Linked DNA regions of Schizosaccharomyces pombe. The gene in region 3 interacts genetically with the main gene of each other region. Each region holds a gene or a part of one and is shown on either strand. Other genes may lie near its edges. The genes, in order: ubr11, txc1, mef1 and SPOM_SPCC18.17C.

Region 1 (9,775 bases), on a different chromosome or scaffold from region 3:
GTCCTTCGACCAAGTTTATGGATATTTTACATAACGACAGAGGAATGGGTTAAAATAAGTGATATTAATGAAGAAGAAGGAAATGAACATCCTTGTTCCAGGTATGTCTTTGGGAAAAAGGTAAATCATCTGACGCTTAATTTTAAAAGGTTTGGACACGCAGTCGCGGCTGATTTGAATAGAAACATTATATATTTAATGGGTGGAAATGCAAGTACGCATCCTTTGAGACCAATGAAGCTTTCAGATTTCTGGAAACTAGATATTCTAGATCGTTGGGGGATAAAGCATTGTCTATCTAATGTGTCTCTCCAGTTACACTTGCATCGGTATGTACTAAGTATCGACATCAATCAACTAATCATAATTTAGCTTTCATGAACTAGTCTCTGAAAATCTTGCTAAGGCAGTTGAGTACCTTCAAAAATCTATGCAGCCGCAATTTGACAAAAGTCCTTTATTTTGGAATGCGCTGATTTTGGATGCTTTTAGTGGAACGCATAAAAACAAAGATATTGCACAAAGAAGATTTGAAACTTTTCAGACAATATATGATTTATTACCGGTTGATGAAAATACTGTTGCACCGAATGAATCCCTCTTAAATATGATTGAATTTTTCACTTGAACCGGATTGAAGGGAATAAATCTTCCAGTCAACCAATTTACTACGCTAAATGTTGGTTTACGAAAATATCAGGCTCTCTGTCATTACCTGTAATTAGGTTGTGTTTCTTGATAATCAAATGTTAGCTGAATTTCTAGGATAATAAACTCTCATATAAATTTAGATAAAATGAAAGAATATATACCATGTGAATAGTCAAAAGTATACGAGTAAATAGCAATACCAATTCTTCTATAGTAATAGTGTATTAGACGCCAATATTATTATGATTATAATGCGAATTTCGCCTTTCCCTGATGCTACACGATACTAAATATTCACAAGAACAATAAATAATTTATTCATCTTTAACCAATTTAATCGCAATTTATTTATGTTGCATACAAAGGAATGAATATTCATCATGTTTGTTAATACCACACTTTCTTTTCGATTTTACCTATACCAATACTAAAATAGGCACGCGAATTCGAAAAAAAAAATATTCAAACTAAGTTATTTTACGTAGTTTTATTTAAATAGAAGGTATATGCGTATTTTATTTTTTTAAAAAAAAAAAAAAAAAAAAAAAAAGTTTATAATAGTAAATTTTTTTTTATGACACGTGCGAATACGATCTCCATAATACACTGAATACTACAAAAAAAAAGAACAGCTTCTTATCATTAAACAAATATATATATACAACTGCAAGTTTAATTGCTAAAAACGATTCGTACTTCCAAAAATAAATATTCATAAATAAATTGTACTCAAACTTCAATTATATATTATTATTCGTTGTTAAAACCGTTAAATAACATTAGGAATTACTGAAATGTCAGAAAGGGGTCATAGCTCAGTGGTTAGAGTGAGGGATTGCAGATCCCCAGGTCGCTGGTTCAAATCCGGCTGGTCCCTTTATTTTTACATTATCCTAGGTTTTTGAGGAAATAATTAAATTCAATATCCAAGGCTGATAAATCCATGTATAAATGCTGTTTGTTATTTATTCAATTTATACTACTGATGCGGCTTTGCGCATTTGCATTGTATGCATCTTTGCTTGCAACACTAAGTAGCGATTTCTCGCTTGGCTACATCTAACGTACGATTGATAATTTATTAGCAGAAGAAACTAGGGTAGTGTAACAACATACTCGAATGATAAAAGTCGTTTGATTAACCTTAATGACAAACGTTTAGCAGAGATATTCAAAGTTGGACAAAGTGTAGCAAGATAAAAGTAAGCGATAGCTGCACCTATTCAATTAAAAAAGCTTTGATTGTTGCACTATAAAGCGTAGTCATATAGTGGTCAATACCCTGAACCACTTTGTATGAGAAACTAGGTATTGGAAGCAGAAAATGAGGAGAACTCGGATATTAATACCTATTCCATTTTTGCTATGATTCAGTCAAGCTAATATGAACGACATTCATTTTCTGGCATTCATCATACTTTCAATATTGGTCTTGCCTTTACAATTTATTAAGTGATTTCTTTCCAGCTTGTATCTGGTATAATGTTGTCTTATTCTGTAAATCTCACTACCCGATCGCCATCTTTGTTCCAGAGAAAATAAAGTAACTGTATTATACTTGCTATTTTATGTTTCAATATTATACTACTTATGTGCTTAAGAAACACTTGACATTGTAAATATAAGAAAAGCACACTAACTTACCACTTTCTAAACAACATATTACATATTACTAATTCAAGAAAGCCGACAACAGTCGCAATGGTGTAGTTGGGAGCATGACAGACTGAAGATCTGTTGGTCATCGGTTCGATCCCGGTTTGTGACACTTTTTTCCTTTTTCCCTAAAGAAAGATCAGCAATAATTGTTGCTAAATTTATTTTAAACACACTAACTATTCCCGTCATGTGCCAACTTAATTAGTTGGAAAGAGTCGAATTTAGCCTCCGTGCTCGGCAACAATGTAAGAGCAATTGCTTTTATTTGCTAACAATACTGCTGGAAAACTAATGAAATTTAAATAAACTATTCCCATGAAGTAATATTTATTTCTTTAAGGTTATCTATTATTTTAAAGCCTTTTTCAACATTTAACCCATTTTTCAAGCCATCAACTTTTGGCCCTACTTAAAGTATTATAGTATAGTATAGTAAAATATAGTGTGCGCATGCTACTGTTTAACCTTGATATGATTTCCATGGGCCCGAAGTATTCAAGCGCTCATTAAAATCTACTATGCACTGCGATAACAATATTTACTTTGAAATCTTGGGGTGTTAGATAATTGAGAAGTTTGGGTAATTCAAACTCGATGGAAAATTATCACCCAAAGGAAAAAATTTTAATTAGATTAAAAAGGATAAATAGTTTAAGAATCTCGAGCTGGATTACTCTAGGGTGCATATCTCTTACTTTCCAACTCATATGATGGTGATTCCTATCTGGCAAAGGATGAAATCAAGCCCACTAGATCGAAACGAAAAAAAGCAATCAACACATATTAACACATATTAAGAAGAAGGAAATAGGAAATTGAATTGAAAGTAAATGGCTTTAAAGAGTTGACTACAGCTGATGAATTTATCAAGCTGGTGTCATTTTTTGGTATCTTCAATTGGCTACTGATACAAGAAAGGTGACGATGTTACCTGAAAGTAGTATAAATGGATTTTTGGCAATGGCAAGAAGTAACTCGCCATTTAGGTATACAAATCAGAAATATTAAGAAGGAACGGTTTATAGCTGCCAAAAATATTTTTAGAGAAATTTGTTTCAACAGAAAAGTTTAAAGAAGGTAAAGGAGGATTGGAGTTTGCTTTATTCAACTGAATGCTGTTTCAATTACTTCCCCAATTTTCTGTTGATGAAAATTTGTATATTCCGTGGCTTTAGCGTGCCTGTTGTTTATTAAATAGCTTTTTTAAACCAATTTAATTATTGAAGAAAACTTTGCGGCCCAAGATCTACTTCACAGAACCTTTCCTATAATTTCATGCAATTGCACGACCCGCCGGCTCCTCTTTCGCAACCATCGGCTTCTAGGTTACAAAAATACCTTCTAGAAAGCGCGGAAAAGCATGCATACGATTCAAATGAAGAATCAAAAACGCACTTGCTGCAAGAGGTTTTCCTGTCGTTGCTGAATTACAACGAAGACAATTGGAAATATTTTCTCAAAGAAAAGCCAGGTGCCATTACTTCTGACTTTCGTCTCTCGAGGCTTCAGCACTCTGAACCCGAATGCGCCCAAGAATTACAAGATAAACGTTCTGGGTCCAAGGTTTGTGGCCACGTATTTCGTGCCGGCGAGGTGATATATCGTTGCAAGAACTGTGGGCTAGATAACACATGTGTTCTTTGTGCTCCTTGCTTTCATGCCACAAACCACGAGGGTCACGAGACTCATGTATCTATTTCAACCTCTTATAGTGGAATCTGCGACTGTGGCGATCCTGAGGCATGGAATGTCGACCTTAACTGCAAGATACATAATGTCCCCGATGACGAGGAGCAGAAAAAGCCAGAAGAAGTGATCCCACTAGAACTTCAACACTCTATCCGTACAACTATTCATATTCTTCTTGACTTCATTCTCGATGTCTTTTCTTGTTCCCCCGTGAATCTTAAAGCTCAATCTACTGTCGGTAGCATCTTAGCAGATGAGGAGGCCTCTCGTCTTAGCAGCGCAAAGTATGGTGTAGCTGATAGGCCTTGCAACGTTTTCCGTGTAATGCTTTGGAACGACGAAGTGCATACCTTTGACGCTGTTGTAGGTAGTGTGCTTGAGGCGTTAGATTCGTCAAATACGGCTTTTGGACTTGAAGTCGCTCAACGTGTTGATTCTATTGGCCGCTTTGCTGTTGCTACATCGGCTTCAGTTCACGAAGCAATAAGAATCGCGAACGCTATTTCAAAAGAAAACTTAGCTGTTAATGTTCGTACTGCCCGCGATTTTTTTCGCGAAGATATTTGTGGTATTCTATTAGAATGGTTCGATGATCTTCTAGAATCACATGTTTGCTATTTTGCTGATTATTTACAAATTATCGTTTGCGATGAAATTTTGAAGAACTGGTCTCCTGGCCTTGAAAAACCTGCTAAGCCTGAGGTGAATTTTAATAACCTTCCTCTGGAGATTGTTAATGACGATGATAGCGAGGATGATATTTATGCCGCAGAAGAACTTCTCGATGTTATCGCAAACCTTCAAGATGAAACAGGTGTAACTAGAATTGCTAATTTGGGTGGTGATGAAGATTTTGAAGCGGATATGACCGATCCTACTATTGCAGGATTTGATCATCCACTTGATGATGATAACGACGTAAATGACCTTCTGGATTTTGAAACAGAACGAGAGGATATTGATGATTTAACTGATGAAGTTATGGAGACAGAAGAAAATGAAGCTGCTGAGGCTGATTATCCTGGTGTAAACCGAAACACTCGTCAAGACGATGTTCAAGATATTTCAATGGAAACCGAAAGTCAAAACGAAACTGATGAATCACAAAACACTGAAAATGTAGATTATAATCCTCAGACGCATACTCCTGTACCTATTCCCACTACTGCAACTCAGGATGTCGTTACTATTCGCCCGGAGTTTAACTCTCAACTCCTTAATAACCTTCGACAAATCATAAACGCTCGTCGTAGACCCCGCCCTGCTGCGGTTTGTCAAGTATCTCTTCGTGAGGATTATTGGAAAAGTCCTCATCCAATTCCTCCTTCGTCATATAGCTTCGTTGAATCTCCATCTTCCATTCTTCGTTTAGATTACTTTTTGCTGTTTGATCTCAAATTTTGGAAACGGTTAAGAGGGCTGCTCTCAAAATTGTATGTTGTTCCTTTTAATAGAAATCTTCTATTTAAGCGTCTTATGGGTATACGTTTCGTAATCCATTATAGGTCTCTCGCTACAGCGTTTCTTTTTGCAGATAGAGAGCCAGACCACTCTGTCATGTTTCTTTCCGTTCAATTTTTCACTACTCCTAGTCTTGCAGAAGCCGTTGTGAAAGACTATGATTTTTTAACTAATTTAAACGCAACAACTTTAAGCTTACTAACGCAGTCTAACCGGCCGTCAACCCTTTTTTCTTCAGACATTGAATACACTCCCACAATTCAGCTAAACCGACAAGTCTTAAAAACCCGAAGGACTTACAATTTGTTTAGTGATCTCGGATACTTACTTCAACATCCGCAAGTCAAAAAGCTTGTAGTGGATGATACGCGTTATGTTCATCAGTATATTGATTTGTTACGGGTGTTCCAAGGTGTGATTCCACAACAACGGGCAATACTCAGTCACGTACAGTGGGATTTTCCTCATGGGAAAAATATATTGTTTGTAATGCAAAGGGTAGCTATGCTCAGTAACACTGTTTCATCTTGTTTTACACAAGCACCATATGAACGGTTGTTTTATGCTATAAAATGTATCATAACTTCCATCACCCACCCTAAATTAGACATTGCAGAGTCTCTCGAACCTCTCTCTTGTATTCCCTCTTCATCTTTGACAAATTTTACACAGCCCTTAGTTCCGTTTTCCGTGTCGAGGGATCCTATAAGTTTTTATCATCCTCTTCACTGGATGCTTTCCAATTTATTTTCATATTGTCGTGTTGACGCTTCTTCTCATTGGGATAAGGATACACTACTTGCTCTTCTTGACCATCCTTTGAGGGTTTGTGTGCTTTTAGCTCAAATTGATTGTAACCTTTGGATAAGAAATGGGCGTAGTATTTTATTAACTGACGCTTTCTATCGTCAACTTAATAACATCGAAGTTTCTTATGATAAGGACATCCTCGCTATTCAAACAATATTAATGTTTGTTGATCCAAACTTGGTTTTAAATGCAGTTGTTCAAAGATTTGAATTTACTGATTGGCTTTATAATTTGACTTATAATGAACATCCCAATTACGACACGGAAAGAATACCAGCTATGTTGTGTAAAATGTTAGAGTTATTAATTGCCCTTATAACAGAGCGCGAACAAATTTTACATGTTGATATCCAAGATATTATTCGCACTCGATTAGCTCAACAGCTATGCTTTGGTCCTCTTGCTTATTCTGCATTGCTGTCTACTATTTCAAGTAATTTAGTAGAGAGTTTGTCATTTGATAAAATTCGAGAAGAAGTAACTTCCTACAAAGCACCTGACGGTCTCCACGATTTTGGCGTTTACAGTTTGAAGGACGAATATTATGATTTGGTGGATCCATATTATTTTCATTATAATAAAAATGAACGAGAGGAGTCAGATACTATCCTTAAAAAACGTTTGGCGAAGAAAAATAATGTAAGTGCTGAGTCGATTATAATAGAACCAAAAATTAGATTTCTTGAGAAGGACGGCCATGATATATTTTTTGCAGCCGTCAATGCGAGCACTTTTAGTCTTATCATTTTTCGTGCGATTGAGTATGCACTTGTTCAAGCGGAGTCCTTTGGATCATCCGATATTGGAAATACTATTCTGGGCGATGCACTTCAGTTGTGTCTAATCTCTATGAAAATTCATGAATTCTCGAAATCAAATGACTTCTGCTCCCGTTCATGCGCTGAGCGTTATCCGACTGATAGTAGTATTATGAGAGAATTTGGTGGCAGTGCGTACTGCTTAGCGGAACTTTGTTTTGCAATTCTCAAGTCTCCTAAATACAAAGATGTTCATGTAAAAGTTAATGCTGTATTGGCTGGCTTACAAAAGAATGATCCATCTGCATATAGCAACATGCTGGAAGCTACACACTTTGAACTCTCAACTACCTCTTCTACTTCGGATTCTAACGAGATTGAGAAAACGCAGGAAAAGAAAAGATTAGCTTTAGAGAAACAGAAGAAAATTATGCAGCAGTTTCGCGATCAGCAAGCATCTTTTCTTGCCCAAAATACCGATTTCGATATCGGAGAAGATCAAACGGAAGATGAAGTTACAACAGAAGAGCCAGAGGAGGAAGTTAAGTACCATGAACATATCCGTGGTAATTGTTTGCTTTGCCAAGAGGAATGCAACGATCAAGCACCATATGGAGTGATCGGCATTATTCAAGGAAGCTCATTACTTCGAAAAACAGATGTTCACAGCGAAATCATTTTGGATGAAATTTATAGTGTTCCCCCTAATTTAGATAGGGAATCTCATTCGAGGCCATTTGGAAAAAAATATGATACAGTTGTTTTCAACCGTTCAAAAGATCGTTTATTAAGTGCTTATCCCCCAGGAAATAACATAAGAGGTGTTTTTGTCTCCGGTTGTGGTCATCTCATGCATTTAGGTTGTTTTAAAAACTATTACGTTGCTAGGTCCATGTATAGAAATGATGTTACCGCTGGGTTAAGTGAATACTATTACAAGTATTCTACTGCTAAATTTTTTATGTGTCCTCTCTGTAGGTCATTGTCGAATGTGTTATTGCCTATGCCTCAGATCCCCAAAATGTGTCTCAACATTGACACCCTTAATTTCCCTCGTAGCATGAATGGTTGGTTAGAGGAAATCGGTACTATGTCTTCCTCGAGCTTTGAATATCAATTAGTTCGAAGTTCTCTGTCCGACACGAAAGATACTTTTAGAAGCTGTTTCCTGAGACCTTGGATAAACAGCAAAATTATCTCGGCAATGCTTGCTCGCTTAAAGATAGCCGATGGTGCATTAATTGATCAAAGTAATAATCGGGACGTATCCGACCTTTATGATCGATATTGTGAAACAACAAAATTGGCTATGAAATTGGTTAAAGGAAGTACATTTACGAATGTTTCACCTCATGATTTACTGAACAGTTTGGCCTATACCGTTTCTTCTCTAGAAGTTAGTCAGAGGTGCTCTCCGAAACAAAGTGGAGCAACTCGATCGGTGTGGTTCAATGAACTGGGACCCCTAACATTATCGTTTTTGCCGACTTTATCTGATACCGTTTTGAAGTGTGTTTGTGATCAGATCATAAAATCTGACCAACAAGCCCTCTTGTTAATGGAGAGCCAAAAACTGTTAGTTTGTAAAATTTTCTATCGTCACTCGCAATTAAAGTCCATGTTGAGAAATGGCCGGATGTCTGACCATGATCAAATTCAACCGTTTTTGCTTTCAAATACTTTCGATGACTTTGTGAAAATTTCATCTTTAATGCTAATCTTTGGTAAACAAGATAATATTTTGTATTACGTTAAGCTTTTCTATCTTTCAGAAATTTGCAAGACAATAATTTCTATGATAAAAGTGGTTGCAGATTCATCGGTCGTTCCTGATTTAACCATTAATTATAGTCAGCAATCCAAGTCCCAATTTTATATTCTATGCAAGAATGTACTGCTTTGGTGTGGTTCTTCAAATAACATTGAAATTTTGGATGATGAGTCTAATTTACTTCGTTTAATGTCTTTGGTGGAGAAGTATTCTTTACCGTTTCTCCGACGAGTTGCTTTGGTATTATATTGCATGTTTGACATTTCACTCGAGTTCAATGAATTCTCCAACAATGAAGATGACAGTGAATTAGAAAGGCTTTCCAAATTAATAAAAGTTCCTCCTTTACAAGAACTGTATTCTCAAATGTCTTCTGATGAAAATAATCAGATTTTGGAATTAATCGCTGGCTGGTGTGAACACTTAGCTCAAAATACATGGGGTGATAGTACTATATCTTTGGAATATCCTGGCATATATGAGCTTGTCAAATTACCTCACAGGCTAGAAAATTTAATTGATTCGATGCAAGAATCAGTTTGCTGTATGTGCCATAAAACTCCAATCCTTCCTGCAATTTGTATGTTATGTGGCAGTGTCATCTGTTTTAATGCTCGACAGAATACGGTTTCCAGTAGGAGACTAACTGGGGAATGCAACAAGCATGCCGCTACGTGCACCGGTAGTGTCGGCATCTTTTTCATCACCAAAGCATGTGGGATTTTGTTGTTAGACTCGATCAGTAATACAGGCACTATCATGCCCACTCCGTACTTAGATATTCATGGTGAAACCGATTTGCAGCTTAGACGTGGTTGTCCTCAATTTTTGAATCAAAAACGTTATGATTTTGTTGTCCGTGAACAATGGCTGCGCCAAACGGTCTTACAAAAAATGGCTCGTCATATGGATATGACGGAAATGCAAAACTGGCGAATGGCTTAAGAAAAAACGATTTATTAATTGTCTAATGCTA
Region 2 (7,091 bases), 210 kb from region 3:
CTAACGCTAAAATCTGTCAAACCATAGTATGTAATTTTTATTTTTTTTTCTCTATGGCGTAGATATAATTTCGTATCAAGACTGTAGACTTGAAGTTTTAACCCAAGTTTTATCAGGTGTTAAATAGATCTCCCTTTTCTAACTTCTTAGTGCGTGCACATGCATGTGCATGTGTGTTAAACGATTTGAGTCTAAAATTGACAAGAGCGGCTTCGAAATATGATATCTAATAGCTCCATTGAGGATAGAATTAATAAAAATGAAGCATATATAGCCAAGTTTTTTGAAATGTGTGTGTAATTATAAGAATTTCTGTGTTTGTCGCCTGAAGTTTTAAAATTTAAAGTGAATGATTTATGAGTTTACTTACTAACTTTATTAGATTTTCTAAAAATGATAAAATTCGCTTCCATGGAGTCTCACTTGACCGAAAAGCACTTGACTCGTTTATGGTTAGAAACAATTTTAAAAAAAGGTTCGTATCTGGTATTAACCTACCCATTTTAATACGATTACATTTTTATAAGAAACTCTTTACCATTTTATGGCTAACAGTTAGAACGGTCGCTTTGTTATCTCATGCTAGAAACATACAATGTCTAATTCAGGAATCCGATGGCGATGCTAAAGACGTTGCTCGTTCCATTTATATTACTACGGCTGAGTTTCGGAATTATTTGTTGACTGAAAAAGGGTTTTACGTTACGACCAGGAGCATTTCACATTTTCGAGCAATATTAGACAGCATAAGATACCCTTTTGGAAAAGACCATGCTAGCAAGAACATGGAGCTTTTACCTATAGTAAGTTTTACATAAATTTTAAGCGGACTACTATGTAAGGGATCTTATCCAAAAGACGTATCTGCAATTTTTAGGGTTGATAATGTTATACCTTTGCATGTAGTTAAATTCAACGTTCGTTGATATAATATGCCAATGTTTAACACGTTTTCTTAATGATGCATACTAACCGACTACTTACTTAGACTTACGATCTCAGTTTTTGTACTGTTTTTCATGGTTATCTCACCAGTATACTGGAAGCTTATGAATTCTTTAGAGGTGTTTTCAAAAAGTATAAAGCTCCCTTGTCCTCTAACTTTATAGCAATAGGAAAGACCACGGACGAATCTAATTTCTCACAATTGCATCATTATTTCCAAAAGTTTGATGAAAGAATTCGTCGAATATTACATTTAATCTCTCAGGAGTTGGATGGATATTGTCGGATAGCGAAGCAGTAATTAATTTTATGTTCTTTTTATCAATTTTTATTCAGGATATGGGCTGCATTAAGTCGTACAACCATCTTTCATCTAATTTATTATATACTAATTTACATTGATTTGGCAAGTTCCTTAAAGAAAAGAGCCTTTCTCAATATGACAAGACTTTAGTTTGCGATTGTTTACCTTACACTTAACAGGTTTGTTTACATCAGCAAGTCCTTAATTGCTTTTCGCAAAAAAAGCTTTAAAAAAGCTATGAACTTTCAATTTATAAATTCAAATATAAACAATGAAGATAAATTGCCGATGGAGTCGTTGAAAAAGAAATTTTTAAAACAAAATCGTGAAATTATAAAGTAAGGTCAAAGTACACCATTTTTGAATCCCTTGTGGTAAATAATAAACATCTAACTTTCAGAATAAATACTCAGCTTTCTATAAAAATTAGAGAATCTGAAAACGAAATTCAAGATTTGATACAAGAAAATTTCACTTTGAAAAGTTATTTGGTTAAACTTGAAGCTCGATTTCGCAATCAATCTCAAACTGAGGACTTGTTAAAAAACTTCTTTCCTGAGATACAAACCATTCACAAAAAGATTTCACAAGTGCAAAGTTTACTGAAGATTATAGAGAAAAAGTGTTCATCAGATTTCCTCGAAGCGAATGTAAAAAGTCAATTTACAACCTGTGAAAATAAAGATTCGAAAGAAGATTATCAGATTTTGCATAATAAACGCTTGGAGTATGTATCATTTAATGATGAACTTAAAAGTCTCGAAACAGGGCAACCATTGTATTGTTTTCAAGATTTCCAAAAAAAAGTCCATGGTCCTCCGGCTCTATCTGAAAAACCTGGAAAATGTATATTAAAAGATAAAACCAATGCCCACGTAAACAAAATACCACAAGATGAGGTGAATTACTCATTGCCGCAAAAAAATATCACCATCTTTTCAAAGGAATTAAAAGAAAACGAATTTGAATCCATCAACGAGGGCGAAACTGAAGAAGAAAAGGCTAAAACATCAAATGTTTGTGTTTGTATTCCTTGTAAAAGTGCTGAACAGATAACTGACCTTAAAGGACAAGCAACCGGAGACAGCTCCCCATGTGATTTTGAAGAATCTCAACCAAGGATTAATGGACGTGAAAAACTAAGACGATCAGTCAAAGTGATAAACTATGCAATACCCAGTTTGCGAACTAAACTACGACGAGACTTTGACTTACCATCTGATAGAAAACGCAAACGACATCCCAGAGGCAAAGCATAAATTATATTGAGGTCACATTGTTAAATATTTTCACATTTATAGCACAGCTAATTTATAATTTAATCTACTGCAAGCAACATTTAAATTCAAGAGAAAAACAAAAAATAATAGAGGAAGAAAAAAAGAACCTAATCAAGGCTCATTTCTTTTACATAAACACATAATTAATCGGCCAATAAATACAAACCAACATTTAAACATAAGCTAAAAAAGTATGGAGACTTAGCCATTTAAGAAAAAGAAAAGAAAAAGGGCGTTAGATATTCTTTAAATAACCGTCATTAAAAAAAATCCAAATCAAAGCGTATTCGTATCGTTTCATATATATTTTTTATTTTGCTTTGGGTAAAACAAAAATCTCAAATAAGAGAGGAAAAAACCAAAAGGAAGGAATCTAAACTTCCCGGGAGCTTAATAGTAAGAACGGAAAACCTCCTCTTGGTTAACTTTGGGATGATCTGAAGGTCTAGGAGTAGCTTCGTAAATGGTTACAACAGGATCACCCTTGAAGGGAACAAAAGAACCACGAAGACCAATGTAGGCGATTTGTGTAGGATCATCAGAACCGTCGCTTTTGGTGAAGAAGATATTGAGATTTTGAAGGTTTTGATAGAGACGAGTCTTAACAGGAAACTCGAAGATATGGCTTCCTTCAAAAGTCAAGGGAAATTCAAATGTTTCAGTGGCTTGGACATCACCGATTGTGTCAAAATCCAAGTCGGTACGATTGGGAAAAAGTGAAAAGGAGTGTGGAGCGGTTTCATTAGGAAAAATGCGAACCAAAATTGATTTTAGTGTTGCCGCACCTGCAAACGGTACCTGAAACAAGAGTTGGTCATCAGCATCACTTTCTACGATATCAGTGTCATCATAACGAAGGTCCCAAGGTTTGAAGACGAGTTTTCCGGAATCTGGTACAGCTTCATTCAGCGTAACAATTGATTCCTTTCGGATGCAAGAATACAAGGTATCATTTGGACCAGACTCAAACGGATGTTCATCACAGTCAGCGGAACAATGGTGAGGGCCAGACATTTAGTACAAACTTCTAAGGAAATCGTTAAAAATGCAAGACTAGGCGAGTTGATAGGTGAATAAATAAACGGTAAACTCGCTAACAAAAAGTAAAAGGGAAAGTTATTTGCGAGCACACTAAGACGTAAGACCGACACTCGGAAGCAAATACTCAAACAAAACAACTAATAGGAAGAAAACCAAAAGCGGAAAAATATGGCGAAAAAGCCTCCCGAGACCAGAAGTACGTTATGCGTTAAAATATTTTTCTTAGAAGCTTTACTAGTCTTCAGCAAAAGAAAAACAAAAATGGAATCAAAATCAGAATTCAAAACTGAAAAGAAAGAATATAAAAGTAGTTTTTTAACGATGAATTATTTTATTGCTTTTTAAAAAATTTTGATTTTGAGACAATAACCGAAAACTCACTTTTGTACCAAAGAAACGTTGACAGTATAAGCAAACAACCTCCTTACTGACTTTTAAACACCAACTTGAAAATATTCGATGAATAGTATGAATACCAGAATTTTAAAAAATAAATAAAAGAAAATCTATACATAAATATAAAGGGGCCTTTTTGTTTTTTTTTTGGTTTTCTCGCAAAAAAAAGTTATTCAGTCGTAAATTTCTACGTGGTAGATGAAAGAAAGTGTAGAAATTTCAACGTTAAATTAGCGAGACTTTTGTAGCACTGTATGAGGAACAGAATTTCAAGGCATACGAACAACTAAGCTAAAAGGCCCATGAAAAAGACAACACCAAAGTTCTTCCTTGGTAACATTGTTTCTATCCAGGCGGGTAGGATGTGGGCCGTGTGGCGCTCATTGTAACAATATATATGTATAGGATTTTGATAAAAACCGGTTGCTTGAACATGCAAGAATAATGAACGGTGACACGTGACAAAGTTACAGCGCAGAAATACGGTGACAACCAAAGCAAGACCAAGGGAAAAGGTTCGCTATAGATGTGAAACAAGTCATGGAAAGAAGGGTGGGGGAGGGCAAGCCAAGGCTGGGGGTAGCGTAAAAGTATAACTTTGTATAATTTTACATTGAAGAAAGAAATGGCACGCCATATGTAACGTGTTTTCTTTTCCATGGTGAATGTTTATTAAGAGAAACATGGATATGCGTACATTCGGGATTACATTGGTGTGGGAGGATTGAACATTATGGATTTGATTATTTAGAGAAAAAAAAAAAAAAAAAGAAAGAAAGAGAACGTACTATTTTTTGGTTGACTTTTATATTCCTAAGGTTTACTCCTAATGTCGCTACGGACATGAATCCGTGCAAAAGGACCTGAACCGCTGTTAACCCTTGCCTTAACCGTGTCTCGCCCCTGTTGTTGATATTTTTATGCGACTGAAAAATGCCTCACTGGTTCAACAAAGCATGAAAGGATTAGAAATTTTTAATGAGAAAATCGATGTTGAATAAAAATGACCAAAGAAGTGTTCTTGCATTTTCTTTCTCTACTTTTTTTTATTTTTCTAATTTTTCATCCTTGAAAAAAAAATACAAACGAGAATGATCTGCATCTTGATATCTTTAGCGAATATCCTGATTTTTGCATAACTGGCTTTTTTTTCTCTACGCTTCTCTTTGTCCCGCTGCACTGGATAGTACTAGATACATATGGAATAGGGTGTTTATACAAGATTCTGGAAAAAGTAGTAAATAAATGTCCCAAAAAGGAGAAACTTGACAGAAAAATAAAAACAAAGAAAAACAAGGAAGACATGGGAAAAAGTGGGAAAGGAGTTTTGATTTGAATACGCCTTACCTACTTAGAGCCAAAAAAAGAAAAAGAACTTGAAAAAAATTTTTCTTGAGAAGCCGTACATACGATATTTTCTATTTTTTTATTTTATTTTTTTTTTCGTTCTCGAGTTTAATTACTAAACCATCTTATTCTATTTTTACTCGTTTGTTGGAATGCGATTTTTCTAGCACATAACCGAAACACGCAGCGTTCGTTATCTGATCAAAGGAAAATCATTGAAAACATAGTATGCAAAAAAGACCCTCATGGGTTTGTAAACAAGATTCATACGTCCTTTAATAATCGATTTCATGAAATGAATGAATTCCAGTAGTAGGTTAAAATTTTTCCAAAAGATTCTGATGCGTTTAGCACTATTGTATTCTGCATATAGCAAAGCACATGGATGTATGTAGGATGGATACATGTGGGATGGGTACGTGAAAATGTGGGATAGATGTACCTATGTGGGATGTTTTGCATACCTACAGAGGAAGCACAGGTGGGATCGGATCCAGTAGCTACTACAGTTGGTGATTGTTACTGTTGGCAGAGTGTTGCATCCTAGCTCTTTGCTGAGGAGTTATTGCTTCGTGGCAAACTACAGAGTAACACGTGCTAGATCCCGCGAACGTTAGATTCAAAGATCCCAAACACTTACAACAAGGTTACATGAGTATAAGTAAATGGTACGTGAATTCTACGTTACCGGTCGAGGCAGAAAGTTGCTTCCGACCGTCTTCAGAATCAAGTCATTCCATGGAATTGTAAGACAATGTGTGAAACAACAACGAGATTTCACTTCTTTTTTAGCTAGTTCTCCCGCTATGGGTGTCGCACAAGGACAACAGGTAAAATTAATTTTGATGCTACTCATTGAGACATGGGAAACAAAACATCAATCATGCCACAGTCATTTCATTTTATTAGAATTCACTCATCTTTTTGTACGCAAGTTTTCGCAAATATTTTTCGAGTTCCGGTTGTTTGCTCACCTACTATCATAAATACAATGTATAATCAATAAACGATTCGCACTTTGTCGTTAGAAATCGAAAAAAAATAAATAAATAAATAAATAGATATATAAAAGTAAAACCATTCTCTAATAGTGAAATATATTTATATCTCTATCATGTGTAAATTTTGTTTTATTATTTTTTCTCTTTTTATTTTTACTTCTCTAGTTCTCTATTATTGAATTCCATTTATTTTATTCTATTTTATTATAATTTAAACTAATTTCTTTTTTTTCTCATTCATTCCCAACCGTCAGTTTAATTTTTCATCCCTGCCCTGCACATCTTTATACATGCTATATTTCGACCCCACCTATCGCCTTAAATCTCTCGTTGAAAAAAAGTCATCATCACCATGGTTCTCCATTTTGCTCCGCTACTGACTGCATCGGTGCCTCTTTTTACAGTCCAAAGATGTGCGATCAGCATCATGTTGTTGTGAGCTGGCGTACAACTGTCTTCTCACATGTATTTTTGGGGTTTAAAGGCGGAGAATATGATGCGAAAGGTCGCTTAAAGTGAGTAGAAGAGTATTCGAGAATTAAAATGAAAAAATAAAAAATGTAGTGTGTTTTTACTATTGTATATGACACCCCGGCTGAGCTAGCGTTTGTGTGTGCATTTAGTATGCGAGTTAGTACACACAGTGTTTTTCTCGGTTTCCCACTTCCGACTCAAATCCCCCACATCAGTCGTTCTGCTTTCTTCTCTTGTGTGTTGTAATCAAATTATGAAGAGGTAACATTGTACGCAACTCACGCAATGTATTAGCATATGCAG
Region 3 (7,029 bases):
AACAATATAGAAGAACATACAAAGATCCTTTGTATACTTGAAAAAAAGAAATAATTTCATAAATGAGGTGTTTTTGTCTTCCTAACTATATGTTTCGTCAGTTTTCACAATGGTCGCAAAATCTGTTTCTAAAATGCTCAATTGTTTATTATCCTAGTTCCCTATTAGTAAATTTTTTTCATTTCTAATTCTAAAAACTTTTACCTGAGTTTAAACAAACAATTGAACAATATCCGATCGATTTGTTTATCTAATAGCGCATCGCGTAAAATATTTTAGCGTCTTTAAGAAAACATAAATATCTCTTATCTACAAATAACAGAAAATTACATCAACCTTATAAAATATAAAGCATTCCAGAAAACACACTATTCTCCTTTCACACCTAAACTGGTCTTGCATTCATTTGGTCTCGAAGTTATATCTCATATACATATTTGCAGTCCACTCTGCAAAAAACAAATAATACAAAAAGGGTATACGAGTTGTTAAAGAAAAAGGTCCCTGCTTGCTTTACATACTTGGCCGTGTTAATTAATTCAATATGGTGTCGATTTACGTTCCCTTGATATATATTACCATTTTAATGGGCTCTATGTATGGAGTTTCTCGTTTTGTGCGAAAATCCAAAAATCAGGAATCAAAACCAGTATCAGAAGAATGGTTTGGAGAAAATTATTCTAGAAATATATTTTTCAGTCTTTTGCAGCAGAATCCACCTGCCGAGGATACACTTTTGAAAGCTGCTCTCGTTTTACGGGCTACAGAAGGTCTTCGTCGATTGATGAAGCTTAAAGTATCGAGAATGGCATTGAATAATTTGCTCAACCGCGGCGGCGTTGGTGACGAGCTAATTCGTAAGTTTGGTCGTTTGGAAAAGGAAACTGAATTGGAGTTGATGGATATTGCCAAAACTGCCAATTCATTGCAGCCTGGATGGAATCAGTTTATATTCCAAACTTGCAATGAAATAATTGAAAACGAAAAAATTCACAGCATAATTGATAATATTCCCAAGGACATTGATTCTATTTCGCAACGTTGGCAAACCGAAAAAATTCTGTATGAAGCCGCTGATGAGGAATTGCGTATTCAAGCCCAAAAAGAACTTGGAGTGCTATAAATTGTTTTAAAAAAAGATGTTCGTATGTGCCTTTATTCTTTTTTTCCTGTTTCTTTCTTGCATCTGATGTTTTACGTTTTCTTATCTTTTTCTTTCTTTGAAACTAAAATTCCTATTTTATACAATAATCCTTAGAACTCATTCATAAATCAAATTCAGTAATAGACTCCATAAAGGGGGCTTGCTTTATCACTGTCCTTACCTTTATATTGAAAGTCATACTTTTTTCCTATTCATATTATCTATCATCCTATTCCTACTCCCTTTTTTTTCCAAACCAATAACAAAAATATGGAAAGAAAGAAGGAAAAAGAAAAAAGCACTATTTGAAAACAAGTTATTGGAATTCAAATGTATGTTCTGGCCAAAATGTCTCCGTTAAGAGCTCAGCCTTTATAAGTTGGTCTATAATTTACTCTTCATATTCTTTAATATACTCATTCTCTGTTCCATGAACTATCTTGCACAAAAAAAATTGTACATTACTTGTATGGTAATAATCTGGGTATTTATTTTTTTTATTTGCATGTAGATTGCTGCGTTAGTAAAGAGGAGAGTGGATCAAAATTTTTTTTTTTAAATAGAAATGACTGGTTACCAAAAACTTTGCTGTTGCTTCATTTAAAACGGACTTCAAAAATTATTTTTGTTGTTGTTTGTTGTACGCGTCAACAAGTTCCTTCTGCACATATTTTGGTGCTGGAAGATATTTGAGAAACTCCATGCTAAACTCACCCTTGCCTTTAGTCAAGGCTCGTATATCCGAGGAATAAGAAAACATGCTGTTCAAAGGGACCTCCGCCTGCAACGTAAACTCATCTTCGTCTGTATCGCTATCGACAATAGTCGCCTTACGCTTATCAAGATTACCAATTACACCACCTTGATGTTCAACAGGCGCCGTTATGCTTACGTTCATAATTGGTTCCAAAACCATTGGGTTCGCTTGCAAGAAAGCTGTACGGAAAGCAGAAATGGTGGCTAAACGAAATGCCAATTCAGAGGAATCAACGGGATGATAAGCACCATCTTCTAAAACGAACCTGCAATTTTTTATAGGATGACCAATGAGAAATCCTTTTTTCAATGCTTCGTAAAAAGCTTTTTCACAAGCTGGAATATACTGCGTAGGGACTGTTCCACCGGTAACTTTGTTGATAAATTCACAATCAACAACGTTTCCAGATTCGTCTTCCACACCATCCATGTATTCAATGTACCCTTCTACTTTTGCATATTGACCGGCTCCACCAGATTGTTTTTTGTGCAGGTAGCTGAAAGGTACCTTTTTGGAAAGAGTTTCCCGGAATGCAACTCTTGGTTTACCCGTTTCACAGTCAACCTTGTACTCACGACGCATACGTTCGACATAAACTTCCAAATGAAGTTCACCCATACCACTAATGATGGTTTCTTTCGATTCATTATCCAACTGCACACGAAAAGTGGGATCTTCACGCTGAAAGCGATTCAAAGCCTTAGAAAAACTGGTTGTATCTTTGCTCTTCGGTTTTAAAGAAAGTGAAATTACGGGTTCTGGTACAAACATTGAAGTCATAGTATACGATACGGAACCGTCCGTGAAGGTGTCTCCAGAAGCGCATTCGATACCAAATAACGCACAAATCCCTCCAGCTTCAACCTTTTCGATTTCTTCCATATCATTGGAATGCATACGAACGAGGCGTGAAACTTTTATTTTTTTTGTAGAATTGACATTGTAAATGTAATTACCCCGCTTGAGTGTACCTTGATAAATTCGCAAATAGGTGAGCTGGCCAAACCTTCCCTCCTCGAGTTTGAAAGCAAGAGCGACAAGCGGCTTCTCACTGCTAGGAACAAGGGATACTGGCTTTTCTGAGTCTGCTGCATTCAAAGCTATATTTTCGACCTCAGAAGGGTTGGGTAGGTAGTCGCAAACAGCATCCAAAACAGATTGAACTCCAACATTGGACAAGGCAGAACCCATTAATACAGGTGTAAACTTCCTTGCAAGTGTAGTTCTACGAATAGCTCCCATAAGCTGCTCAGGTGTAGGGTCTTCTTCCATTACGTATATATCAGCAATTTCTTCGTCTAAATCGGCAAGCTTTTCAATTAAAGCTGAGCGCTTTTCTTTTGCTAGTTCAATAAGATTCTCAGGAACCTGCTGAGAAATTTCGATTTTCTCACCCTTCGACCCACGATTATAAATTGCACGCATTTGTATAAGATCAACCACACCTTCAAGTTTGTCTTCTTGACCTATAGGAATTTGAACAGCTGCAGCGGGAATTTTCAATTTTGTGTTTATTTGCTGAATGACCTTCCACGGATCTGCACCCATACGATCCATTTTGTTAACAAAAGAGATCCTGGGGACATTGTAGCGGCGCATTTGTCGATCAACTGTGATAGTTTGCGATTGAACACCGGAGACAGCACAGAGTACCAACACTGCACCATCTAGCACACGTAAGGCACGCTCCACCTCAATGGTAAAATCAATGTGACCAGGTGTATCAATAATATTAATGTTATAACTTTTCTCAAAGTCAGTTTTTTGTTTTTCGTTAGCTTCAATCTGATCCACAGTACGTTCCCAAGTGCAATGGGTAGCAGCCGATTGAATGGTAATTCCTTTTTCCCGTTCAAGTTCCATGAAATCCATTTTTGCTCCGACATTATCCTTTCCTCTGACTTCATGAATGTCTTTTATCCTTCCTGTATAGTACAAAACTCTTTCAGTAAAGGTAGTCTTGCCGGAATCAATATGGGCAGATATTCCAATATTTCGAATTTGTTTAAGTCGCTTTTTATCGTTATCATTCAACTGTTCTTGGATATTCAAATTATTTTCTGATGTATTAGAAGCTTCAATGCCCGTATTTGCTACTGACGCGTAACCACGGACGACTAAAGTAGAAAGTCTGGGGAGGCGGCTTGTCAGCGACCTAAATGATAATTTTAGCATTTTATATTATTTCAATAGAATATAAAAACAGCCATGAATAACATAAACAATAAATTCCTAGCTTTGGGAACACGCTGAGGTGGTGAGAGTCGTCGAGCAAGGTGGGAGGAGCAAAGTCGCTTTGTTTACGTGTCGCGAGTTACCGCGGTAACATATTAAATTTATTTAAACGTAAATCAAATACTTACTTAACGCATTTTTAATGAATAACAAAATATACATTTTATATGGAGAATATATATGTATTTGCAATTGAATGTTGCTGATTATTTAAAAGTAGCTTGCTTATCGTCAAGAAAAAAGCGACTTCGTTCTGTATTCGGTATCTCCATGTTTAAATGATTCATGAGGCGGTCCAAGCATAGTACTTATAAAAGAAATACAACTATTTTGTCATGAAGTATTTTGGGCATTGTATCAGAAAGCGCGCTTTTCTAGTATCCACAATCGGTTTGAACCTCACCACCATCGCAATCTATTTCTACTACTAGGGTTTTTTGCTCTTTGCAGTTTTTTAAGCTGAGCTTATTCAATCCTTACTGCTTAATCGGTTAATACCATTTTTTTTCTAATTCTTCTCACGGTTTTTATGACGGCGTATTATATTTAGCTTGAAGAATCTGGACTTAAAAATCTAAGAAGGGTTTAAGAATGCTTGTTGAGGGTGATAAAGGTGTTTTAGAGCCAGTTAACTTTGTGGGTCCTGTTACTAGCTTGGCCCTTATTCACAATGATAAGTTTTTATGCTGTGCTCAAGGACCTTGTTTAAGAATTTACGATGTTTCTGAAAGTCGACACGAAAGTGATTTAATTAAATCAATTTTACTTCCATTTCATAATAGAATACATGGAATGCTTCCTTGTAAACAAGGATTATTTGTTTGGGGAGGAACCTATTTTGCAGTTGTTGATGTTGAAACGAGCCAAGTTTACTATGACCGTATATCTGACTGGATATTTAATGCAGCGGAGCTTGGTGAAGAAAATAAATTTTGCGTCGTTACATCGAAAAATCAAGTTCATCTTCTTTCGTTAAGTAAAGGTTCGTGGGAAGTTACAAATACAATATCTTGCGAGAAAACGCCTCTTTTGTTTTGCGCAACGGTACAAATAAGTGGAAATGAAATTTACATAGCTTCTGCTTCCGCTTTTCAGCAAATTTACGTGTGGAAATTCAATTATAACAATCCACCTTCTTGTGTTTCCATTGACACCTACCTTGTTGGACACGAAGGTGCTTGCTTTGATCTCAAGTTTTCATCGGATGGACGTTACCTTTGCTCAGTTTCTGAAGATCGTACCCTAAGGCTTTGGTCGATCGAGTCGTCACCCTTTTTAATAGCGACAGGCTTTGGTCACTCAGCTCGTGTTTGGCGTTGCGTGTTTCTACCCAACAAAGAAATAGCCACAGTTTCTGAAGATTTGACCTTACGTCTCTGGACTTGGAATGATAAAACGCTCACTAATACTTACACATATACTGGTCATCGCGGGAAACACATATGGTCACTAGTTGTCTCCTCTGCGAACCCAATAATATATACCGGTGGAAATGATGGATCAGTTAGGTCTTGGGATTACAAAACTCGTATTCAGGAATCCTGCATCTCAGTATCCTCATTGTTCACCTCAAAGACTTTGCTTGCTTCTTTTTGTTTTGTTAAATGTCAAAAATTATTATGCCTTGCCAAAAATGGGTAAGCGATTTGCATGCTATCAAATATTCATCTGTCTAACCCAATTAATTTAGAGAAATGTCAATTATAGATAATAAAGGAAAAAAAGCTATTCCTGCTTTGACTACCACATCGGACATGTCTATAATTCGTTCTTGGAAAAACTCTTTTTTTGTTGCTGCTGCCTCCAACAAAGGTACTATATATGTGTTTTCATATCAAAATACGAATTTATTAAAAGCTATTGATTTGCATAGGGGAAAGATTCAGCAACTGCTTACTTATCAAGTTAAAGAAAGATATTTTCTACTATCAAAATCATTTGTAGGAAAAAACCAATTTCGAGTTTACTTACAGGAATTTGATTTTGAAGCCGATAAGGTCAACCTAATTTCAACAATAGAACTGGAGTTGCCGGCAACATTTGATCCGACTTCTCTTACAGTTGATGAAGAATATTCAAATTTTTTAATTGGTTCTCGAACAGGATCGCTGGCTTTGTACAATATTGGTGAAAGCAACTACCTTTCTGTATGGAGGAGAATTCATGAATTTGATGCAATTTCATCCATTCACATCAAGTCGTCAAAACGTGATTACCTCTTAATTCAAACAGTCGGACGTGATGGTTATGTCAATTTATTTTCAATTCCGAGGGTAGAAAAAAGTGCTGTTCCTCAGGAGCTGTGTTCGAAAAAATGTTGTGATGGTATACTAAGCGGGGTGAGTATTATCTTTAAGAATATACGGTTCATGGTTCAGCTAACATATGCTAGGGTTTGTGTAAAAAATTAAAAAATGGAAAGGAAAATCAATGGGTTTGGGGTTTTCATGCATCAAATTTTTTTTTAAGGGATGAGACAAATGAAACTAATGTTTTCTTTATTGATTGTGGAGGTAGTCATCGTCCATGGGCTTTTTCAATGGAGATGGACATTCAAAGTTTTGCATCTTATAGAGCAAATCAACTTTATATTTATAGCACTGCTTTAAATCTTTTGCAAAGAAATTCTGTATTACAAAATGGTTTGCATGGGCGTGAGATTCGAGCAATGGATTTCAATCCTTCAGGGGATCTTTTATTATCAGGATCTGAAGATACTAAAGTAACCCTGCTTGAGTTTCAGAGTAATGGAAACATAATTCCTCTGAATTCTGTCAAGTTTCATAATTCAGGAATCCAATCGCTGACCTGGTTTAGCGATGATATTTTATTTTCCACTGGTGGTCTTGAAGAGTTAAATGTTTATAGGCTAATACAAAAGCCAGAGGCATAT
Region 4 (6,353 bases), on a different chromosome or scaffold from region 3:
ACCCGAAATATTGGAAAGCCACTTTTTAGTGCTAATCTGGGTGGTGGTGTATGGCGTCTTGAGCACATGGAGACTACTGAAAATTATCATAAAGTCCTTGGCATTTTAATGCATCGTGGTGCTCAAGTTTTACGAATCTCTAATGATTTTAGTTCAATTGATGCTAGCAAACGCATTTTTAAGGAGCATGAAAGCATGTGTTACGGAGGAGACTGGCGTCACACCGATGGTCTACTTGCTACTTGCTCGTTTTATGATAAAAGAGTTTGCCTTTGGGAAGATATTTAGCATGCATTCGTTTGTTTAGTAGACTTTGGGGAGGAGAATAACGGGCATATTTTTTCCTTTTTCTTTTTTTGCATGTTTGCTATACAAAATTTGTGTAGAATAACGTTGTTCATAATCGTTACTTTTCCATTTCTTTGTTTTATCTTTACAAACAGAAAAAATGATCATTTACGTTCTTGTTTTCGCTTCTTTTTCTTACTTACTGACTCTCTTCCACCTGTCTCTGTTCCTTCATTGTTTTTTTTTTTTTTTCATTCTCATCCGACCAAATACTATCGTTCTTTATAATCAATGAAATACAATAAATGTTTATTAAAATAAAAAAAGTTTAAGTACGATTATGGCAGTACTATTGTGTTCACAAAATTGTAAATCTTTACAGTCATTGCCATCTGAAATTAACAAAATGTATTTAAAAAACAAAAGCCAATCTAACCAAATACTTATTAACAAAAAGGAAGAGAAATTAAAGAAGGAATAATACAGCAGGATTTATTAAAGCATTTTGGCAGCGGCAAGGATGAGTAAAAGTACACAAAAAGATTTCTTTTAAGGATCTTATTGTATTTTATACCTTGAAAAATGGGTCCTTCTTATAGCTAGAATAAGAAGGACGATCCATGCTATTTAAAGCAACTCTAATATCGGTGTGTATATCTTCGATTAATTTATCTAAACCGGCATAATTTAGCTCAGGCCTAATGTATCCCAAAACAATAACACGCATTATTTCTTCGTAAAAATCTTCACCTTGTCTTTCTATGAGATGCACTTCTGCACTTCGTAGCTTGTTTTTATAGTACGGATTCCATCCAACACTCATCACCATGGGGAATACTCGTTTTTGTACCATAGCATATCCAAAATAAACACCAGAATCTCTATATCTAAGAAGCTCTTGAATTGCATCTTCTGATATATTTGCAGTTGGAATTCCAAGCTCTTTTGAGCCTCTACCAAAGCCATGAACAACTTTCCCTTCGAAGCGAATAGGATAAGGGCTTTGCACCTTTTCAGGACCAACAATTTCAGGCCTCTTTTCTTCTAAATTAACTGTCATAGAGTAAATCAAAGGTTGCTAGCGCAATTGGAAAAATACTAGTGGAAGTAGGTAGTTAGTAAGCGTAGCTCAGCCTAATGAAGAGAGTCATGTTGGACAAATATTTCCATTACGCTTATTTTAAATTAGTTTAGTTGATATCTATGAATAACAAAAAAATAATAAAACAATTGGTTCATCAACCATTGACCATCAATGGTTAAATCTCAAGGTTGGTAATAACCACAAATGCTCAACGGTTGTTTAACTCTATTATGAATTCGTAAGTTTAATAAAAAACTTGCGTTTGATATTCAAGAGGAATTAAAGATTTAACCTTAATATAATAGCGCTTGGTATTCAAGCAGTTTTACAGCGCTGTTCTGGGCACAAAATAAAATAGTTATTAATTAAATTTTTTGAGAAACAAGTAGACAATTGCATAATTATTAGATTGACAAAAGGCCTTGGGTGGCATCCATAAATTCCGTCCCCAAAGACTGCCAAGTGAAAGTGAAATTGCAATTCATAAAAGCTTTCCATTTGTGAAAATATATAGGACTATAAATATCCATGTTAAGAAACTAAACACTATCCCTATAGCTAACAGCCATTTTTTTTTATACATCATATTTCAAAAAAAGCGGCATACGAACCTGACGTTTAAGGAAGTCGAAAAAGAGGGAAAATTTTGCTTGCTGTAATAATAGAAGAAAGCAAGATTTTTTGGAATATAATAGTTGTAAACTACTTAAGCAGTTTCTGCGGCCACTTTTAACGTTGAAGCACCGCTAACAATCGGCCCTTGCTGTAGTCTTTTAAGAATGTCTTCCCGATATCTACCAAAAGGTAGCTTGGGTCCGCCATGAGGAGATTCCATCATGGTCTTTAACACTTGAAACCGCAGTAAGCATGTTTCATGGTCACCTTCTGCTTCAAGTAAATGACGGATAGCGAATCCTTCAGAAGCAATTTGGATAGGCGAATTTTGAGCAATGTGTAGCAAGCATTGGTATGCTAGTTGCCTAGAACGAGGAATCGGAGAAGAAGCAGTGTTTACTAAAGTGCTCAAGGTGTTGGGAGGTAATATTCTCCAAAGCTGCATCCACAAATTATGATCAGGCTGTAAAAGAGCATGAGCAAAAGAAGACATACCCGGTTCGTCCATCAAAAATCGTCTTGTCAACCATCTTGGCACATAACGATTAGCTTCGTCCTCAATGCCATATTTCTTGATAAGTGCTTGAGTTACCACTGTGTTAGACAAAAAAACTCCGTAAAGAAGAATAGATGTAGCATCGTTCGTCTTCATTCTCTCGCGAACAGCGTCAAATAGTTGATGCTTCTCATCCAACGAGTTAATAGCGTCTGGATGCAATTCGCAGAGCCTGGGAAGGAACTTTAATCCAATATGATCCGTATAAGAATCCGCTGAACCTTTGTAGTCTTGAGCGATCGTGTCCAAATACTTTGTTTTTTCAGAACTTATATACTCGTATGTAAAAGGAGCCTCTAACATTATCCCAAGGACATCCACGAAATTAATTTGAAGCAATATGTCTTTATTGTCACCATTAATTACAAGCTTGTCGTCCTTAATCAGTTCTTCCAAATATTCTGGAGACTTCGTAGACAGTTTTGCGAACAGTGTCAACCAGCGTACCCTCAGCGTAGAGTTCATAATTTCATAGTCAACAAATGTAAAACGCTTTATAATTAAATTAAAGTAGTATGGAAAATCTGCCATATCGAATAGCAAAACAGTAGCTTCTTCGGAAACTGCTATGCTTCGAGAGTTGATGCATGCCATAATCGCCTCAAACAGTGGTTCACCAATCTCCTTCTTTTCCCAATTTGCACGGCGTATAAGGTGCAGACAAAAGATTTCGACATCTGTAGAAGGATGTTCAAGTCCAGTAACCAAGTAAGATTCAATTCCAAACTTTTTCAAATCGGCCCAACTCATTGGCTCAAGCAGCTTACCCAAAGCCTTCATAATCGGCTCGGTAGGTATTGGAAGCTCAAAACAACTAAGTATGGTATCCAAGAGTCCTAAGCATGATGGCCTTGTAGCAGGCGTTATACTTTCACGGAACGCATCTATGGCATCAGGGATTTCACGAACGATAACCGACGGGTTTGAAGGGAGATCTTTCAATAACTGTAATAGTCTTCTACCGGGTCCTGGTAAGCCTGGTATGAGTTCTATACTATCCATTTGGCTTGTTTTTAACAGATCCCGTATATTGGCGATGGATCGGCTGAAATCAGGCAAGAGGCAATTTTATCTCGTTTAAGTAAGCTTAATTTTAACCGAGCAACCGAATATCAAGGAAATACACATACAAAGAAAAGGGTATCAAACACCTTTGCATTCTTGGTTTACGACTATAACTGTAGGGGTGGAAAACAAAGAAACACTTAATCAAAATTACGCATTAATCTACTTCACGAACTAACCATTTTTTTTAAATGAGTGCCTACTATTTTGTTTGAGAGCCTATGGCTTGTGCAAGAAAAAAAAACTCATTTAACATAATGGGTATTTTTGCAAAAAAGCTAGTTAATATTATGAGAAGGGGAATGATTTTCGTAAAAAGTAAGTTGAGAGAAGATAAAAGAGAAGGATGGATAAAGAGCATGAAAAAGGATAAAGAGCAACAACTGATGATCCAATATTAACGGACCAACAAGTAGAGTGGTAAAAAATTATACTTTCTTAGCTGAAATCATTAATTCAGGGCGAACCCATTCATCGAATTGCTCGGGGGTACCGAAACCCAAAGTAACAAACTCGTGCTTGAGAGTGCTCTTATTTTTAAGAGCAGTCTTGGCAATCTTGGCACAGTTATCATAACCGATGTGAGGATTTAACGCAGTAACAAGCATCAAGGAATCACGAAGATGACGGGCAATACCTTCGTAATTTGGCTCAATGCCGACAACGCAATGATCAGTAAAAGACTCGCAAGCATCCCCTAAAAGACGAATACTGCTTAGAATGTTCTTTGCTAAAAGAGGTTTAAAAACATTGAGTTCACAGTGTCCGGAGGCACCAGCGACAGTAATAGTGGCATGATTGCCCATTACTTGAGCACAAACCATTGTTAAGGCTTCACATTGGGTGGGGTTTACTTTGCCTGGCATGATTGAACTTCCAGGTTCATTAGCAGGAAGGATCAATTCGCCTAAACCACAACGAGGGCCAGAACCAAGTTGACGAATATCGTTAGCAATTTTCATAAGAGAACAAGCAATAACATTTAAAGCACCACTCATCTCCACAATCGCATCATGGGCTGCAAGAGCCTCAAACTTGTTAGGGGCGGTCTTAAACTCAATATTTGTAAGCTTTGAAACCTTCTCAGCAACCTTCACGTCAAATCCTTCAAAAGTATTTAGTCCAGTACCCACGGCAGTACCACCTTGAGCGAGAAGACAAAGACGAGGAAGAGCGTTGTTTATGCGCTCAATGCCATAACCAACCTGAGTAACATAGCCGGAAAATTCTTGACCTAAAGAAAGAGGAGTGGCATCTTGCATGTGGGTTCGACCGATTTTGATAATGTTCTTAAACTCCTCTTCCTTACCCTTCAAGGCCCGGTGGAGGTGCTTCATGGCAGGAAGTAAATGAGTGTGAATTTGCAAAACAGAGGCAATATGCATAACAGTGGGGAAAGTGTCGTTAGAAGATTGAGACATGTTAACGTGATCGTTTGGATGAACGGGCTTTTTCGAACCTAACGTACCACCAAGGATTTCTATGGCACGATTAGCGATTACCTCGTTACTGTTCATATTGGATTGGGTGCCCGAGCCAGTTTGGAAAACAACCAAGGGGAAGTTATCATCCAAACGACCATCAATGACTTCTTGGGCAGCCTGTTCAATGGCATCTGCAAGTTTGGGATCCAAACCGAATTCACGATTAACAGAAGCAGCCGCACGCTTTAAAACTCCAAATGCGCGAACTAAGGGAAGAGGAAGTCGCTCTTTTTCACCACCAATTCGAAAGTTTTGAAGAGAACGCTGAGTTTGAGCACCCCAATACTTTTCTGCAGGGACTTGTATGGGACCAAAGGTGTCAGATTCCTGTCGGAACTCGCCATGCTTACCGCCTTTGGGAATGAGATGATAAGTCGGAGTAGTGGAATTCATTCTATGAGTTTTTAGAGGTAACTAAAAAATAAAAAGTTAGTGTCATACGCAAATTGCATAAATCAATAGAGTAAAGCGAAATAGATGTGACTCAACCGCTGCATCTTGCTGAAACCGCGAAAGCTGGAACTCTGTGCCACGCCATTGTTCATTCGCAAGAGTAGATGGAACCAACGAAAGAAACAGAAAAACGAAGTGTATTCTTCAATTTCTTCAGCCGTATTCGAGCATTACAACAAAAACAAATGCCGACACATCAAAACACTGAACTTATTCTTTTCATAATAATATTTCGTGGTGTTAGTGGATCATGCGTTTCAATGGGATAACGCACGACTAAACAAGGCATATCACAAGAGTTATGGAATGAACGGTTAACAAAACGGTTAAACTAGCAAGTAGTCATTTAATAAAAAAAGAGAGAAAACAAGTACGAAGAGCAACTCTTCTTTTTTTAATAGGTAACTACTTCGCAACATTCATGACTTTTTCTCTCTCCAACCGATTTTCACGGAGTCTCATTCTAAAACACAAATTACAATTTACTTACACCAGTGAGTGTTGGGGTAATCAATCTTCTGCAAGGCAAACCGCCAGCTCGAAAAATCGCTTTAGCCGTGCTGATGTGGGCAACAGAAGCCATGTGGGTTATTTTAAAAAGAAAATTATACTCTTCTGAATAAGGCAAATTTTACGGGGATACGGACAATTATCACCGTTACAAGTAGTAAACACTGAGATGACGAACAACCTATCGGAAACCTGAGGATGGAACGAAATGGAGAAAACTACAAAACCGATAAGAAAATTGAAAAAAACAGTTTTGTGTATTTTATTTATCCAAAAGAAAGATGGTTTGCAAGTGCTC

Evidence for each region.
Region 1: of mef1 (region 3) and ubr11, extra expression of one rescues a mutant of the other (dosage rescue), as found in Schizosaccharomyces pombe (one large-scale study listed by BioGRID).
Region 2: of mef1 (region 3) and txc1, extra expression of one rescues a mutant of the other (dosage rescue), as found in Schizosaccharomyces pombe (one large-scale study listed by BioGRID).
Region 4: of mef1 (region 3) and SPOM_SPCC18.17C, extra expression of one rescues a mutant of the other (dosage rescue), as found in Schizosaccharomyces pombe (one large-scale study listed by BioGRID).

Annotation. Positions count from the first base shown.
Region 1 is NC_003424.3:3,699,210-3,708,984, forward strand, and holds the start of ubr11 (ubiquitin-protein ligase E3 Ubr11), read left to right. Parts: upstream 1-3,282; 5' UTR 3,283-3,585; coding exon 3,586-9,744; 3' UTR 9,745-9,775. Other genes in the region: mde6 (muskelin), read left to right, coding at 1-101, 150-329, 373-628.
Region 2 is NC_003423.3:963,163-970,253, reverse strand, and holds txc1 (poteasome interacting protein Txc1), read right to left. Parts: upstream 3,975-7,091; 5' UTR 3,544-3,974; coding exon 2,920-3,543; 3' UTR 2,509-2,919; coding exon of another isoform or gene 1,650-2,508; 3' UTR 1,588-1,649; coding exon of another isoform or gene 1,487-1,587; 3' UTR 1,363-1,486; downstream 1-1,362. Other genes in the region: SPOM_SPBP35G2.04C (uncharacterized protein), read left to right, coding at 220-290, 383-803, 989-1,246; shugoshin Sgo1, read left to right, coding at 1,487-1,587, 1,650-2,508; SPOM_SPBP35G2.17 (uncharacterized protein), read left to right, coding at 5,979-6,299.
Region 3 is NC_003423.3:1,176,317-1,183,345, forward strand, and holds mef1 (mitochondrial translation elongation factor G), read right to left. Parts: upstream 4,171-7,029; 5' UTR 4,077-4,170; coding exon 1,764-4,076; 3' UTR 1,560-1,763; downstream 1-1,559. Other genes in the region: translocation subcomplex subunit Sec66, read left to right, coding at 545-1,123; protein Trm734, read left to right, coding at 4,728-5,773, 5,827-6,475, 6,529-7,029. UniProt on the Schizosaccharomyces pombe protein: Mitochondrial GTPase that catalyzes the GTP-dependent ribosomal translocation step during translation elongation.
Region 4 is NC_003421.2:1,984,595-1,990,947, forward strand, and holds SPOM_SPCC18.17C (proteasome non-ATPase regulatory subunit), read right to left. Parts: upstream 3,582-6,353; 5' UTR 3,546-3,581; coding exon 2,079-3,545; 3' UTR 1,740-2,078; downstream 1-1,739. Other genes in the region: dph7 (WD repeat-containing protein), read left to right, coding at 1-288; riboflavin kinase Fmn1, read right to left, coding at 857-1,348; fum1 (fumarate hydratase), read right to left, coding at 4,037-5,506, 6,036-6,128.